3 linked regions of the Callithrix jacchus genome follow. The protein of the gene in region 1 interacts with the protein of each later gene in a pairwise test. Links are inferred from orthologs where the notes say so. Each region holds a gene or a part of one and is shown on either strand. Other genes may lie near its edges. The genes, in order: NUP62, CRCT1 and XPO6.

What was found.
Region 2: the proteins of NUP62 (region 1) and CRCT1 interact in binary tests that used the Homo sapiens proteins (3 or more experiments, as listed by UniProt). The two-hybrid records come from large-scale screens. The link is inferred for Callithrix jacchus from reciprocal best matches to the Homo sapiens genes NUP62 and CRCT1.
Region 3: the proteins of NUP62 (region 1) and XPO6 interact in binary tests that used the Homo sapiens proteins (3 or more experiments, as listed by UniProt). The link is inferred for Callithrix jacchus from reciprocal best matches to the Homo sapiens genes NUP62 and XPO6.

The regions. Positions count from the first base shown.
Region 1 is NC_133523.1:43,685,291-43,690,216, reverse strand, and holds part of NUP62 (nuclear pore glycoprotein p62), read left to right. Parts: intron 1-3,431; 5' UTR 3,432-3,495; coding exon 3,496-4,926. UniProt on the Homo sapiens protein: Essential component of the nuclear pore complex. The N-terminal is probably involved in nucleocytoplasmic transport.
Region 2 is NC_133519.1:12,721,844-12,727,558, reverse strand, and holds CRCT1 (cysteine-rich C-terminal protein 1), read left to right. Parts: upstream 1-1,976; 5' UTR 1,977-2,047; intron 2,048-3,156; 5' UTR 3,157-3,178; coding exon 3,179-3,496; 3' UTR 3,497-3,821; downstream 3,822-5,715.
Region 3 is NC_133513.1:28,798,798-28,804,656, reverse strand, and holds the start of XPO6 (exportin-6), read left to right. Parts: upstream 1-2,414; 5' UTR 2,415-3,070; coding exon 3,071-3,073; intron 3,074-4,229; exon of another isoform or gene 4,230-4,327; intron 4,328-5,303; exon of another isoform or gene 5,304-5,366; intron 5,367-5,859. UniProt on the Homo sapiens protein: Mediates the nuclear export of actin and profilin-actin complexes in somatic cells.

The sequences.
Region 1 (4,926 bases):
GCCTCCCTGTCTTCACACAGGCCCTTCCTCCTGCCTGGACAACCCCTCTCCCTCCCACCTGGACAACCCCTCTCCCTCCCACCTTCCTGGCTGATGCCGTATCTGCCTCAGCCTCCCAAATAGTTGGGATTACACGTGGCCACCCTTAGGCCTGGCTAATTTTTTTTTTTGAGACAGAGTTTCGCTCTTGTTACCCAGGCTGGAGTACAATGGCGTGATCTCGGCTCACCGCAACCTCCGCCTCCTGGGTTCAGGCAATTCTCCTGCCTCAGCCTCCCAAGTAGCTGGGACTACAGGCACGCGCCACCATGCCCGGCTAAGTTTTTGTATTTTTAGTAGAGACAGGGTTTCACCATTGTTGACCAGGATGGTCTCGATGGGCCTGGCTAATTTTTATATTTTCAGTAGAGTTGGGATTTTGCCATGTTGGTCAGGCTAGTCTCAAACTCCTGACCTCAGGTGATCCAGCCACCTCAGCTTCCCCAAGGGCTGGGATTACAGGCATGAGCCACCACACCCAGCCTACTTTTTCGAGATGGGGTCTCACTCTGTTGTGCAGGCTGGAGTGCAGTGGTGCAGTCACGGCTCACTTGCAGCCTCCACCTCCCTGGGCTCCAATGGTCTTCCCACTTCAGCCTCCCAAGTAGCTGGGACTGCAGGTGCCCCCTTGGCCAACTTGTTTTTGTAGTTTTTGTAGAGACAGGATCATACTATGTTGGCCAGGCTGGTCTCGAATTCCTGGGCTCAAGCAATCCTGCCACCTCGGCCTGCCAAAGTGCTGGGATTACAGGTGTGAGCCACCACGCAAGCCGTATTATATCTAAACTGCGTGCATCAGTGCTGGATCAGTATGGGCTGCCATTGTGAATAGATCCCAGGCATCTGAAGTGTTGGAAACCAACGATGCACTTAATCAGTGGTGAACTGTGAAGCCAGATAAGGCCCCACAGGAGATTGTTTTTCTTGTAGTTTTCGTTTGTTTGTTTCTTGAGACAGAGTCTTGCTCTGTGGCCAGACTGGAATGCAGTGGCGCGATCTCAACTCACTGCAGCCTCAGCCTCCCGAGTAGCTGGGATTACAGGTGCCCACTACCATGCCTGGCTAATTCTTTGTATTTTAGTAGAGACGTGGTTTCACTATGTTGGCCAGGATGGTCTTGATCTTCTGACCTCGTGATCCGTGCGCCTTGGCCTCCCAAAGTGCTGAGATCAGCGTGAGCCACCACACCCCGCCCTCTTGTAGTTGTATGCGCGTGTGTGTGTGTTCTCTTGTAGTTTTTTAATAGTTGCAAAGAGCTTTTTATAAATGTTTTTCTTGGAAATTTTAGCTACGGCTTATTAATAGCAAAAGCTTTTTTAAGCTGAGTTCTTGAGAACTGAGATGGGTAGGCGTAGCTGCTCAGATGCCTTTAGCTGCTGGGAACCACACACGGGCTCAAGGTGGCTCCTCAGTGAGGACCTGTGTTCTGCCCACAGCGGGAGGACTGGGTGCGGCCAGGCAGGGCCCCAGCAGTCCTGGGGGCTCAGGCACTTGCCGTGGCCTCTTGAAGAGACCTTTCTCAGAATTCCCCAGGAGAGCTTTATGAAAATGCCAGGGCCAACATCCCAGCCCTGCAGAGACTCTTGTGTTTGAAACGCTGCCAGGCGGTGCTCATGGACACCCACTGAGATCCACTGACTTGGACACGGCAGAGCCCCATGCGGCTGGCCCCCCGGTCGTCTCCCCAGACTTGCTTGGCTGTGTGGAGGAGGAGGGGCAGATGAAACAAAAATGAGGGCCTTGAGGAAGGCAGAATGGTACAGTGGAATGGGTGGGGGTAGTGAGGCAGGTTTCCTCTGATTCAAGCTAGAAGGGGATTTCCTGAGGGCAGACACCAAGAAACTTGAAAACTGGCCTGGAGAGAGGGAAGAGGAAACAGACCTCGTGGGTGTTTCTCTGGGCCAGGCACTTGGCTTCTCAGTCGTGACTTTGTTCATTCTTTTTTTTGAGACAGGGTCTCGCTCTCTCCATTCCCAGCTTCTCGAGCTGCTTATGCCTTCCCTGGTTCCTGGCCTTCGCCATCTTCAGATTCGAAAGCGCACCACTCCGGTCTGCTTTCGGCACCAAGCTTTCCTGTCTGCCCGAGTCAGTCACATCCACCCGGGCTCTGTCTTCTAGGGACACTTCTGATCATCTTCAGGGCTCACACCTATAGTCCTAGCACTTTGGGAGGCCAAGGAGGAAGGATTGCTTGAGCCCAGGAGTTCAAGACCAGGGCAGCAGAGATCCGGTTTCTACAAAATAAAAAAAGATTAGCTGAGCATGGTGGCTTGCACCTGTAATCCCAGCTACTCTGGGAGGCTGAGGTGGGAGAATCACTTGGGCCTAGGAGGTCAAGGCTGCAGTGAGCTGTGATTGTGTCAGTGCATTACAGCTGGTATGACAGAGCAAAACCTTTTCCCAAAAGAAAAAAAGAAAATCACCGCTGTCCAGCACTCCCTCACCTCTTCCTCTCCAGGTGACCTTTGAGCTTCCCGCTGATGGATGGCGCCACTGGAGCTTTTTCAGTTTGACATTACCAAAATCCAGTCAGTTTGAACATGGAGATGCTCTGGCCCATGGGGCTTCTGGGGTGCTCTTTATCCCTCCCCGACCCATCTCTGGTGGGGCTCATGGTCTCCTGTGATGTCCCAGTGTCTGCAGATAGATGGTTGAGAACATATCCAGGGGAGGCTCAGGTGCAATCCTCTGTACCACACCTACAGGTGAAGGAGGCAGCTGCCTCCCCCAGGGGAGGCTCTGATTGGCTGGCTCAGGTCTCAGTTTATCCTTGAGCCAATCACTGCAGCCAAGGGCATCTGTGTTCTGATTGAGCACATGGGTTTCAGACACCCCCCCACCCCAAGTTAAGAGAGGGCGTTCCAGCGTCCTTGCCTGCTAGAGAGTGCAGGTGTGGGGGCCTTCAGCAGCCCAGGCTCTGCCATCTGGCCTGAGTTCCCAGCCCCATGTGTCTCTGTGAGGTCCGGAGAGGCCCTTAGGGAGGCATGAGCTGATCTGCTCACGCCCTGCTAGCGTCAGTGGGGGAATGTCACTGGGTCCCATGCTGAGAGCAGGTCCTACAGCTGTTCCTCTGTGTCCTAGTCCCACTGGTGGCAGTGCCTCACATTTCATCCCCTCCTCGGACCGAGGTGGGTCCAGGGTTCTGCTCTTCCGCCTCCGCCTCCACAGAGTGGGAGCTTCCACTGTGCTAAACGTGGCCATGCACATCCCTAGCACCCCGGCTCCTCATACCTGACCCCTGGCGCGTGCGCTGGTGCTTTCGGATCCTCCTCGGTTTAGCAGGGCCTGGTTTAGGTTACACAGGAAGAAGAGGGGTTGCGTGCCACTGAGTTTGCCTTTCCAAAACTGCCATCTGACAATGTCGCTTCCTCTGCTTTACAAATCTTCCCAAGGTTGCAGACACCGACGGATTTGCTTTCGGAGCTGGAGTAGCTGCCGCCATCAGAGTCTGGAGCCATGAGCGGGTTTAATTTTGGAGGCACTGGGGCCCCTACAGGCGGGTTCACGTTTGGCACTGCGAAGACGGCAACCACCACACCTGCCACAGGGTTTTCTTTCTCCACCTCTGGCACCGGAGGGTTTAATTTTGGGGCTCCCTCCCAAGCAGCCGCAAGTACCCCTTCCACCAGCCTTTTCTCACTTGCCACGCAGACTCCGGCCACACAGACGCCGGGCTTTAGTTTTGGAACAGCAACTCCTGCTTCCGGGGGAACTGGGTTTTCTTTGGGGACCGGTGCTTCAAAGCTAAACCTGAGCAATGCAGCTGCCACCCCAGCCATGGCAAACCCCAGCGGCTTTGGGCTGGGCAGCAGCAGCCTCACTAATGCCATGCCGAGCACCGCCACCTCCAGCCAGGGCACAGCACCCACTGGCTTTGTGTTTGGCCCCCCCACCACCTCAGTGGCTCCAGCCACCACATCGGGAGGGTTCTTGTTCACTGGTGGAAGCACGGCCCAAACCTCTGGTTTCAACATTGGCTCAGCGGGGAATTCAGCCCAGCCCACGGCACCTGCCGGGTTGTCCTTCACTCCGGCCACGCCAGCAGCCACCACAGCAGGCGCCACTCAGCCAGCTGCGCCCACACCAATGGCCACCACCACCAGTGCTGGGCCCACCCTCTTTGCCTCAATAGCAACCGCTCCAACCTCGTCCGCCACCACCGGCCTCTCCCTCTGTACCCCTGCAACCACAGCAGGAGCCCCTGCCACTGGGACACTGGGCTTCAGCTTAAAAGCACCCGGAGCAACTTCCGGCACCTCCACAACAACATCCACTGCTGCCATCACCACCACCAGTAGCACCAGCAGCAGCAGCAGCACCGGCAGCACCAGCTTTGCCTTGAATTTAAAACCACTGGCGCCAGCCGGGATCCCCAGCAATACGGCAGCCGCCGTGACTGCTCCACCTGGCCCTGGTGCAGCCGCAGGGGTGGCCGCCACCTCCGCCATGACCTACGCACAGCTAGAGAGCCTGATCAACAAATGGAGCCTGGAGCTGGAGGACCAAGAGCGGCACTTCCTCCAGCAGGCCACCCAGGTCAACGCCTGGGACCGCACACTGATCGAGAACGGGGAGAAGATCACCACCCTGCACCGAGAAGTGGAGAAGGTGAAGCTGGACCAGAAGAGGCTGGACCAGGAGCTCGACTTCATCCTGTCCCAGCAGAAGGAGCTGGAAGACCTGCTGAGCCCACTGGAGGAGCTGGTCAAGGAGCAGAGCGGGACCATCTACCTGCAGCACGCGGATGAGGAGCGCGAGAAGACCTACAAGCTGGCCGAGAACATCGATGCGCAGCTGAAGCGCATGGCCCAGGACCTCAAGGACATCATCGAGCACCTGAACACGTCCGGGGCCCCCGCCGACACCAGCGACCCGCTGCAGCAGATC
Region 2 (5,715 bases), on another chromosome or scaffold:
TGTGTGGCTGGCGTGTGTGTGTGTGTGGCTGGTGTGTGTGTTTGTGTGTATTTGTGTGTTAGTGTGTATTTGTGTGTGTATGTTTGTATTTGTGTGTGTGTGTGGCTGGTGTGTGTGTGTATTTGTGTGTGTTTATGTGCATGTGTTGGGGTGTGTGGTTGATGTTTGTGTGTTTGTGTGTGTGGTTGGTGTGTGTGTTTGTATTTGTGTGTTTGTGTGCGTGTGTTGGGGTGTGGTTGGTGTGTGTGTTTGTGTGTATTTGTGTGTGTGTTTGTATTTGTGTGTGTGTGTTTGTGTGTGTGTGTTTGGGTGTGTGGTTGATGTGTTTGTGTGTGGGTGTGTGTGCATAGTGAGAGGTGGTAAGAGTATGGGGTTTTGTCACTGTGTTGGGTTTTCCAAGTAACATTTCTTTAGGAATGGGCTGGTTCCTTCAGGATATACTCACACTAGAAAAGTTAATTCCAAATTAGCCTTTTATATACAAGATAAACAATGGATGCCTCCTTTGATAAGAGTTAACAACGATACATAAAGTACATTAGTTTATGAGATCATAGCATGTCCACAGAATGAGCAGGCACTTTCCCAGATCATCATGCTGATTCCTACCAAACATTCTTCACTCTTTTTTATTTTAAAGAACTTTACCCATTTCCACCTAGGAGATCCTGCCTCTGTCTTGTCATTTCATTACTTCCCTCTCTGTTCCAATATTGACTGCACTTTTTGGAATGTCTCACCTATACTCACCAACAGGTGCCCTAGGTACTGGGAACCTGTTAATCAGGCTCTAAATCGATGTTAGATGAAACTGGTATCTTTTGTGACTTATCTTTCCTTGCTAATCCCCTCGTGCCGCTCCCTGTTCACTCACCCCTAAACCTGTCTCTCACCCTTAATTCTTGAATTCTCAGTCTTGGACTTTTGAGTATAGTTCACATTCATAGTTGTGGGCAATTGCACTGATTAAGAAGCAGTTCTGAAGTTGACTGCCAAAGTATCCTTCAATTTTTAAAAATTAGTTATTCCAAAAACACTGTATATCATGCACACTTTGGACCTTTGGAAAGAACTTTCTCTTATTTTCCTTCTTTCCCTCCCTCTTTTCTTCTTCCTTTCCCATCTTCTTTCTTTTCTTTTGCGGTGGGCAGTGCCCCTAGGGAGAACCTATCTTCAAAGGGAGGTGGGTGGTTGCGGGTGGGATAAGGAGCAGACGTCCCCCAGGCTGACTTGCCTTTTTGCAGTTGGGCCACCGTCCTGCACACATTTTTCTCTTAGTCATACTGAGCTGCATTATGGGGATATGGTAACCTGACTACACTCACAACTTTTCCAGCATTATGGTTCCTTAACTTTGCCTATGATTTCCTTCCTGTCTCCAGTGACAGAGAGAAATCACCCCTGGGCTTCCTACATATGCATCTCTGTTATCATCTTCACTCACCGCATCTTGAAGCATATGGATGAAACCCAGCAGGCTTATCACATAGCTTGTGGTCTGCCCTGGGGAGCCAAGGACCAAAAGCCAGAGAGATGAGAATCAAGATAACAGATAGGTGAACTCCCACCTACCAAGTAGATGACCACACAGGAACGGATGTGTGGGCAAGTGGAGCCGTGTGTGTGTGTGTGTGTATGTGTGTGTGTGTGTGTATGTGTGTGTGTGTGTATTGCAGACATGAGCAGAAGGGGTTCCAGACTTCCCTTCCTTTGAGCCCCCACGCCTTCTGTTAGCATTCACACAGCCTCCCAGCTATGAACAGTGCCCTATTTGGAAAGTAAACATGCCATAGCAATCCTGGCACCTCTGCGAAGTGACTTGGATACACACGTGCACCACCTACAGTGCTACCTGAGTGATGAATGTCTCTGGGATGTGAGCGTCAGCTGAGCATGTCTGTTGGGAAATGGGCCCCTCCCAAGGGCCCCAACCTGACCCTCTTTGATATATAAAAGGTTCTGGCTGGACACTGCTCAATCCATTGCCTAGCAGGTGGCTCATTCCAGTTGGAGAACATAGAGAGTCTTCCAGCGGAGCCAAGGTCTGGTAAGTCTCCTAGCAGGGTCTTGGGGAGAGGATGGGAGGAGTTGAGGGCACAGGGGAGGAGAAAACAGAACAAAGGCAGCAGATAGATGTGGAATGGGAGCGCTGCAAGGCACCTCAGCTTCAAGTGATCCAACCTTTCAAGGCACTAATAAGGACATAAAGGCAATACAGGAGGCGGCTTTTGCAAGGGTACACAGCAAGTCCCTAGAAGAGCTGTGACTAGAACCCGGGTCTTCTGGCTCCCTGGACGGGTTTCTTTCTTTCCTTTTCTTTGAGACGGAGTTTTGCTCTTGTTACCCAGGCAATGGTGCGATCTCGGCTCACCGCAACCTCCGCCTCCCGGGTTCAGGCAATTCTCCTGCCTCAGCCTCCTGAGTATCTGGGATTATAGGCATGCACCACCATGCCCGGCTAATTTTTTGTATTTTTAGTAGAGACGGGGTTTCACCACGTTGACCAGGATGGTCTCGATCTCTTGACCTCGTGATCCACCCGCCTCGGCCTCCCAAAGTGCTGGGATTACAGGCTTGAGCCACCGTGGACGGGTTTATTTCTATTAGCACAACTCTTCTTTTCCCATGTGTTTGTGGGGCATGAGACGCATAGGCAAGAGAGGATGAGCAGGACATGCTTCTGGCCGGTGGATTATTTAGAACCAGCAGGTAGGGACGCGTGTGGTACTTGGGTGTTTTCTAAGTGATGGGGTGTTTATACAATGCTAGCAACTAGGAAATATCATCGAAGGTCGGTAGCAAAGTAAAATGAGAGACGAAAAAAGCCAGGTGGAGATTCTGGACTGGATCACACAGATAGGTTGCGGTACTATGCTATTTTCCACCGCGGGGAACTTGAGCGGTCCTCTTCTAGTCAGAGAAAATGGAAAAGTATCGATTATTTGCATAGACTGTGTCCTGCTCTGAGCATGTTTAACTCCTTGGAAGCACCTGCTTGGATTTGTATTTTTAAATACGCTCTTTCTGGGTGCTTCCCCCACTCCTTGCCCCAGGCCAGGCTGACTTTCACACTAAACCGAATCTCAAAAGACCAGACAGAGATCCACTGGCGGAAAGAAAAGCCGGCTCGCCTTTGAAAGGCTGTCTTTCTTCCAGGTTCGTCGTGAGGAGCTCCGCGATGTCTTCTCAGCAGAGCGCCGCTTCCGCCAAAGGCTTTTCCAAGGGGTCGTCCCAGGGCCCGGCTCCGTGCCAGGCCCCGGCGCCCACCCCGGCGCCCGCCTCCTCCTCCTCCTGCTGCGGGGGCGGCTGCTGCGGCTCGGACGGGGGCTGCTGCGGCTCCGACGGGGGCTGCTGTGGCTCCAGCTCCACCAGCTGCTGCTGCTTCCCAAGGAGGCGCCGCCGGCAGCGGGGTCGCGGCTGCTGCTGCTGCGGGGGCGGCAGCCAGAGGTCCCAGCGCTCCAACAACCAGGGCTCTGGCTGCTGCTCCGGCTGCTGAGGGGCCCGCAGCACCCGGCGCTGCGCTAGACAAACCCGCCCAGCCCTGAGCGGGCCCGCCCCGCCGTGGCTCCCACGCGGGGCTGGGCCTCGGAGTTTGCCCCGTAAAGCGAATTGCACTTTGATGTTCGGAAATCCACTCTGTTCTCAGCCACGGAAGACTCCCTGACCCTCATGTGATTTTTCTCCCTGGGGATTCGAGAGCCGTGGGTGGGACATTGGACCCTACTGTCTGCACGGGTTTGCATACAGCAGGTGCTCGGTAAATGTCTACTGGTTCCATTGTCCTCTGAAGATGTCATAATAAAGCTTCTACCTCCTGAGAACGCCTTGTCTTATTTGTTCTTCATTCGTTTTTCCCCGCAGTTTGAAAGGCTTGAAATGTTTGTGAAAGGCAGAAAACTATAATACATGCCGGAATGAAAAGGTGGCTTTCTGATCATTACAGTAGCAGCGATTACATATTGACTGTTTCGAGTATTTTTTTTTTTTTCTTTTTTTTTTTTTGAGACGGAGTTTCACTCTCGTTACCCAGGCTGGAGTGCAATGGCGCAATCTCGGCTCACCGCAACCTCCGCCTCCTGGGTTCAGGCAATTCCCCTGCCTCAGCCTCCCAAGTAGCTGGGATTACAGGCACGCGCCACCATGCCCAGCTAATTTTTTGTATTTTTAGTAGAGACGGGGTCTCACCATGTTGACCAGGATGGTCTCGATCTCCTGACCTCGTGATCCACCCACCTTGGCCTCCCAAAGTGCTGGGATTACAGGCGTGAGCCACTGTTTCGAGTATTTTAAGGACTTTATGTGCCACCATATGATTCTCATAATGACTTGCTAGTAAAATGCTGTTATACCCATTTTACAGAAGAGAAACTGAGGTTAAGCAACTTGCTCAAAATCACCCAGCCAGTATAAGATGAATACAGGACATCTGATTCCAGGGCTTCATTGCTCTGCTTCGTCCTTACCAGGGCTCGTTGCTCTGCTTCGTCCTTACCAGGGCTTCCCAAGCCTTACCACTGAAGCGCTTGTCCTCCTGACCATCAGGTCCAGGCAGCGGTGTGGCAAAAGTTTGTTTTGGCAACTCTTGGGGGCTTTGGAATCAAGCCAACTGTCTTTTTTTTTTTTTTTTTTTTTTCTGCCATGAAAGATTATTGACCCACTGCTTTGCTTGCTGGGGAGAAACTGTTTCCTAAGATGAGCCTTCCAGGAAACTGGAAGCTGCCCTCTCCAGGTCTCACTTGTGCAGCCGAAGCATGACCAAGAGCCATGGGTTTCTGGGAATCTCTGTGATGCAACATGTGTGCTCGGAAACGTGGAGCTTTCATTCTCTAGAGATGGTGGCTGTGGCAGTGGCAGCCGCAGTGGAGGGGTCATCTTGCCTAGGTCAGAAACCTGTCCCTGTGGACACAGATGTTATCCACTCATTTCCGGCATGAGGAAACAGGAGACCAACATCCTCTGCATGATGTCTGCTGCGTTTGGAAGGAAGAGATAATAATGGTGATAATGAGAGTAACAGTAGTTACCACTTATTTGGCGCTAACTTTATCTCAGGCACAAGGCAAGACATTTTACATATATTATCTCACTTCATCTTCTCAGTAATCTAAAAATATAGACATTCACTTCACCACTTTTTATATGTGAGGAAATGGGTTTAGACAGTTCCAATGATTTGGCTGGAATCACAGAGGTAGTGAATGTCCAAAGCACCCAGATGGTGAGTGAGGCAGAAGAGACTCAAACCGGAATGTGTGTCTCCAAAATCATGCCCTCACACTCAAAGAGTCATGCTCTGCTGTCTTAGAAATCACCACCACCCAGGGAAGGGGCACTTGAGCCTCTGGACACACCCAGGTTCTCAGAAAATTGCAGCTCAGCTTCTTGGGTGCTGCTCCCTTGGTGACCCCATGAGTGGAGAGCTCTGTCATGGCATCCACCCGGCAGCTGGTGGCTGAGGGTGTCTGCTCAAAGGTGAGGTCGAAAATGCTCTACTGATTCATCCAGGATGTTTGAAGTTGAGGCCAAATGACTCCCTTCCAGGGAGGCTCTGGAGGGCAGTCCTGCTCTGCCTGGGAGTGGCCCTTCCTTCCATGTCTGAGATTCTGTGATTTCCAGTGGGAGGTGATTTGTGGAGGCTGTTTACAAACAGATGATATCACCCATGGACCTGCCTCTCCACACCAGTGATATGTGCTGAAATAGCAAGCCCCGGGA
Region 3 (5,859 bases), on another chromosome or scaffold:
AAAGCTTAAATAAATGTCACTTCCTGACTTCCTCCCCATCCTAATCTGACAGATTATTTTAGATCCCGTGGCCTTATTAGTGTATAAACTATATTAAAGTTATAATAGATTGAATTTTTCCTTCATGTTATCACAATGATAGCTGATCTATTACTGTAATTTGTCTCTAAATTCCATGAGGGCACACATATATTTGTTTTGCTCAGCATTGAATCCTTGAAAGAGTGATTGTCACTTAGTGGGCAACAATAAAGATTTGATAAAATAAATGTGCTTGAGGCCGGGCACCATGGCTTATGCCTGTAATCCCAGCACTTTGGGAGGCTGAGGTGGGCACATCCCCCGGGATCAGGAGTTCGAGACTAGTCTGGCTAACATATGGTATCTAGACCTACAGCATCAGCTTCATTTAGGAGCTTGTTAGAAATGTAAATTATTCAGCCACATCTCAGACCTACTGGATGGGAAAGTTTATGAGTGGAGTGAGTAATCTTTGTTTTAACAGTCCTGGGTGTATTGATTCAGATCACACTGAGGTTTGAGAGAAAAGAAAAATAGCTCAGGGCAGTCTGAGTTATGTGAAGTATGTAAAATTTCTCAGGTCCACTGAGATTTGTGTATAGGAGTTTGGGCACACTCCCACCTCCACATGCCTGGGGACAATTGTTTAAAGATATTTTGTTTCAGACTAGCTGCCTCCCCCATTTCCTTTGGGTTCCTGAAATTTGTGATACAAAGAACAGTGTATAGACAATAGCTTATGTTATTTTTTTTTCCACTTTCTCACCATTCCTATTCAACCTTATATTATGCCTCTTCTTTTTTCCTTAAAAACCCACTTGAGAAGCTTTGGGCAATGGCAGTATCGTAGCCAATGAGGTTTATACAAGGCGCGATTATTGCTAATTGAAAACTTTTCCCAATACCCTGCCATGACGACTTGAAAATATAGTCGGCATTGGCAATTTGTGACAGTCTCTACGGAGACTGAATTTAAAAAAACAAAACAAAAAACCCACTTGAGGACAGGCACGGTGCCTCACGCCTATAATCCCAGCACTTTGGGAGGCTGAGGCTGGCAGATCACCTGAGGTCAGAAGTTCAAGACCAGACTGGCCAATATGGTAAAACCCCATCTCTACAAAAATACAAAAATTAGCCTGGCATGATGGTGGGTGCCTGTAGTCAAGCTACTCACGAGGCTGAGGCTGGAGAATTGCTTGAACCGGGAGGTGAAGGTCGCAGTGAGCCGAGATTGGATCATTGCACTTCAGCCTGGGAGACAGAGCAAGACTCTGTCTCAAAAAAAAAAACAAAAACAAAAACGAAAACAGAAAAACACCACACTCTAGCCTTGGCGACAGAGCAAGATCCTGTCTTAAAAACAAACAAACAAACAAGCAAACAAAAAAACCATTTGTAGCTGCTGCTAATTGGAGCATATATTCAGGGCAACTTGAATCTATGCTTCTGGTTGGCCATTCTCAAGCTTTGGGTTTGAATAAACCCTATACTTAATCCTATTTTCTCAATCTCGTTATTTAAGGTTGACAAGAGCCATAGAGTTATATAGATTTGCTCCAATCTAGGTAGTACACACACCTGCGGGCTCAGTCTCAGCTGTTCGGGATAGTTTCCTGACTCTCTGTTTCTTAAAAGTAGCACTTTCAGCCTGGCTGGATGACTCACAGCTGTAATCCCAGCACTTTGGAGGCTGAGGAGGGAAAACTGCTTGAGCCCTGGAGTCTCAGACCAACCCGGGCATCATAGGGAGACCTCATCTCTGCAAAAAATAAAAATATTTAGCTGGGCATGGTGGTGCACCAGGAGGTTGGGGCTGCAATGAGCCACGACTGCGCTACTGCACTCCAGCCTGGGCAACACAGCAAGACCCTGTCCCTAAAAATAAAATAAAGATGAGCACTTTCACGAGTAAAGTGGGTTGGAGGCTAGGAACAGGAATTTAACACGTTCTCTGCCCCCTCAGCACTTTGACTATAGAAGTTTTGTTTATCTTTCTCGACCTAGCACCCACAGCGGCGCCTGGAATATAGCCGGGCTAACATAGTCCACTATATTCCAGTGGACTGCATGAATGTAAGCTCATGAGGCCGTGTGCCGCCACCCAGCCAGCGCAACGCTCCGCACGTAAAAGACACTCAGTAAAGCTTTGTGGAATGAATGGAGCGAAGGAAGTGAAAGAGAAACTGCGCCTTTACTAAAATGGCAGCCCGGGCTCCCTTTACCAAGATGGCTGCTAGCCCGCGTGGACAGACGGGCTGTGGGCCCAGAGGGCGTGGCTAGAGAAGGCGTTGCCAGAGGGGGCGTTGCCAGAGGGCGGGGCCAGTGGGAGCCGTCAGGTGTCGCCCCGCCCTCCGCCTGCTCCCCCTGCTCGCCCCGCTCGATTCCGGATTGGTCCGGTTCCAGCGCCGCAGCCCGGCGGCCGCGCTGTGAGGCCGCCTGGCGCTCGCCACTTCCGGCGCGTTGGGGCTGTTGGTCGGGGGCGGCCGCGCGGTACTAGCGGACGGCTCCGGGGCGGGCGCGAGCAGGGATGCTCTCGGGGGCGGCGGCAGTGGCCGTGTGGGCTGAGACGGCGAGGACAGCGCGGGCCCCCAGGCCTCTCCCCTGAGCCGGCCGCCTGGGCCGCGCAGCCGAGGCCCCGTCAGCCTCCGCCCCTTCACCCTCGGGGCCGGGCCCGCCGCCACCTCTGCCCGCGGAGGCAGGGGAGCCCCTGCCTGGGCCCGCAGCCTCCCCCGCGGGGGTCGGGCCCGGGCGGGGGTCCCGAGCCGCTGCCCTCCTCGCCGGCATCCGAGCCCCATTTCCTGCTTTTTCAGTTTCATTGGGGAGGGGCGGGTGGGTCTGGATGAATTGTCTCCGGGGCCCCCGATGAGGAGACCCGGGTGGCCCTGCCCTTTTTAGAGGGTCCCCACGGGGCCCGGTGGAGAAGGGGTTGTCTTTGCACGGGCGGGGGACTTCCCGAGTCTGCCGGGACCATGACCTGAACTGTGCGAGCGGGACGTGTCCGAAGCCCAAGAACCAGCTCATCTGAGCCGCCCCCTCCCCGGCCAGCATGGTAAGTGGGATCGGAGCCCTTCCCTCCTGGGGTGCCCTGCCGGAGGGGTGGGAATGGGCCCCGGGGCTGCTGAGCCATCGCTTTTCTCCCTATGGCGGGGAGAGGCGCGTGCCGAGCCTGGCCGGTGACACATGCGTGCAGAGTGTGCAGCCCCGGCCCTGCACTCCCATCCCCCCAGGGGTGATGGCTCAGGCCTGGGAGGGCCCTGGGAGCACAGCAGGCACAACCCTTGCATCTGGTGTTTGCCTCCTGCAGCTCCTCCGGCAGTATAACTACCGTTTATTGAGGGTTTACTACTTGCCAAGGCCCTGCCCGAAGTGATTGACGTGCAGTAGTATTTGATGATCACACCAACCCTCTGTTCGGAAGTGGGGAGACTGAGGCACGGAGTAATTAATTCCCCCGCTCAAGGTCAAGCAACTTTTAAGTAACGGAGTTAAGATTTGAACCTGGGCATTTCTAATACATTTAGAGAGCTGGGTGATTGTAGGAGAAGCATCTCACCTAGCTGTAGCTTTATATAGGGGGAAACAGAGAGAGGGATTTACAGAGGTCCCTTGCACAGGTGATGGCGAAGTCAGGAATGGTCGTGATCTTTTGACACCGAGGCTGCTGTTCTACATACTCTGACCTCTGCTGAAGATACCTTTCCTGTTTTCTAGACCCATAGATACCTTCAATACTCCCCTAAATGTGTGTACCCACATCTTTGTTAAGCATTTGTCTTTTTGTTCTTGTAATTATTTCTGAGCCTTATCTGTCTATTGCGGTAGACACAGCTCCATCAAAGACCAAATTGTTTGAACCCTTATCTGCCCCAGCTCTTGGCACATAGTAAGCCCTCGGTGAGTACTGGATCACCTCCAGGGGTGGAGCTGTTCTCCTCAGTGTCACCCATTTTACCCCAAGTTAGTGCTGTAATAGAGAAAGGGACCTAGCTACATCTTTTGTGATACAGACCTTAGGACCTGTGGGATTTTCAAAACATTCAAGGGGCTTGTGGTTAGTGTGTAAGTCATGAGGTTTTTTACAGCCAGCTGGATAAAGCACACTGTGAATGCTGAGCAGCACTGTGCAGTAAGTATATGCTATTTGTATAGTGTATATATTTTATTTATTTATTTATTTTGAGACAGGGTCTTGCTTTGTTTCCTAGGCTGGAGTGCAGTGGCATGTTCATGGCTCACTGCAGCCTCAACCTCCTGGGCTCAAGCAGTCCTCTCACCTTAGCCTCCCAAGTAGCTGGGACTACAGGTGCGTGCCACCATGCCTGGCCAATTTTTTGTGGAGATGAGGTCTCACCATATTTCCCAGGCTGGTCTTGAACTCCTGAACTGAAGTGATCCCCCTCACCCCCAGTCTCCCAAAGTGCTGGGATTACAGGTGTGAGCTACCATGCACAACTGAGTCTATATATTTTAACATACATATGTACACAGTATGTATTGTGGCAGATCAGGTAAGCTCTTAGTTCCAATTTCCTCAACTATGAAATTTGGGGATAGAAATTGAAGAATAATCTAGAGGTATGAGGTAGAACATTTAGTGGCTGATGAAAGTAGCACTTATTCCTTCCTTCATTTATTCTTTCAGCATCTTTTTTTTTTTTTTTTTGAGATGGAGCTCTTTTCATCCAGGCTGGAGTGCAGTGGTGCGAGCTCCGCTCACTGCAACCTCCGCCTCCCATGTTCAAGCAATTTTCCTGGCTTAGCCTCCCGAGTAGCTGGGACTACAGCCGCGTGCCACCACACACAGCTAATTTTTGTATTTTTTAGTAGAGATGGGGTTTTGCCATGTTGGCCAGGCTGGTCTCGAACTCCTGACCTCAGGTGATCCATCTGCCTTGACCTCCCAAAGTATGAGGATTCCAGGCCTGAGTCACCATGCCCAGCGTTTTTTTTTTTTTTTGAGACGGAGTTTTGTTCTTGTCACCCAGGCTGGAGTGCAGTGGTGTAATCTCAGCTCACTGCAACCTCCGCCTCTTTGGTTTAAGTGATTCTTCTGCTTCAGCCTCTGGAGTAGCTGGGATGGCAGGCTTGTGCCACCATGCCCAGCTAATTTTTGTTTTTAGTAGAGACAGCGTTTCACCATGTTGGTTAGGCTGATCTCGAACTCCTGACCTCTGATGATCTACTTACCTTGGCCTTCCAAAGTATTGGGATTGCAGGTGTGAGCCACCATGCCTGGCCTCAATATTCTTTAAAATTTTATTTAATTATTTTATTTTTTGGGGGGCTTTCTGGCCCAAATCAGAAATTCAAAAGAGACAAATTCTAAAAGAGCTGTAACACTTACTTTGTTTTTTTAATTGTAAAATATACATAATAAAAATTTGCCAGTTTAACTATTTTTAAGTGTACTGTTCAGTGACATTAAGAGCATTCACACTGTTGTGCAGTCATCACCACCATCCATCTCGGAAGATTTTTCCCAAATCAACCTGTACCCCTCATTTCTCAGTCTCTCCCCCACCCCACTTTACTTTCTATTCCTATGAATTTGACTACTTTAGGTCACTCATAGAAGTGGAATCAGGCAGTGTCTGACCTGTTGTGACTGGCTTATTTCACATGGCGCGGTGTTCTCTGGGTTCATCCGTGTCATGGCATGTGTCAGAGCTTCCTTCCTTTTGAAGGCTGAATTCCATTGTGTGTATGTGCCACATTTCGTTTATCCTTTCATCCATCAGTGGATAAACGGGTTGCTTCTAGCCTTTGGCTCTTGTGAATAATCCTGTTATGAATACAGGTGTACAAATCTTTCAAGTGAATTTTCAGTAGCCACAA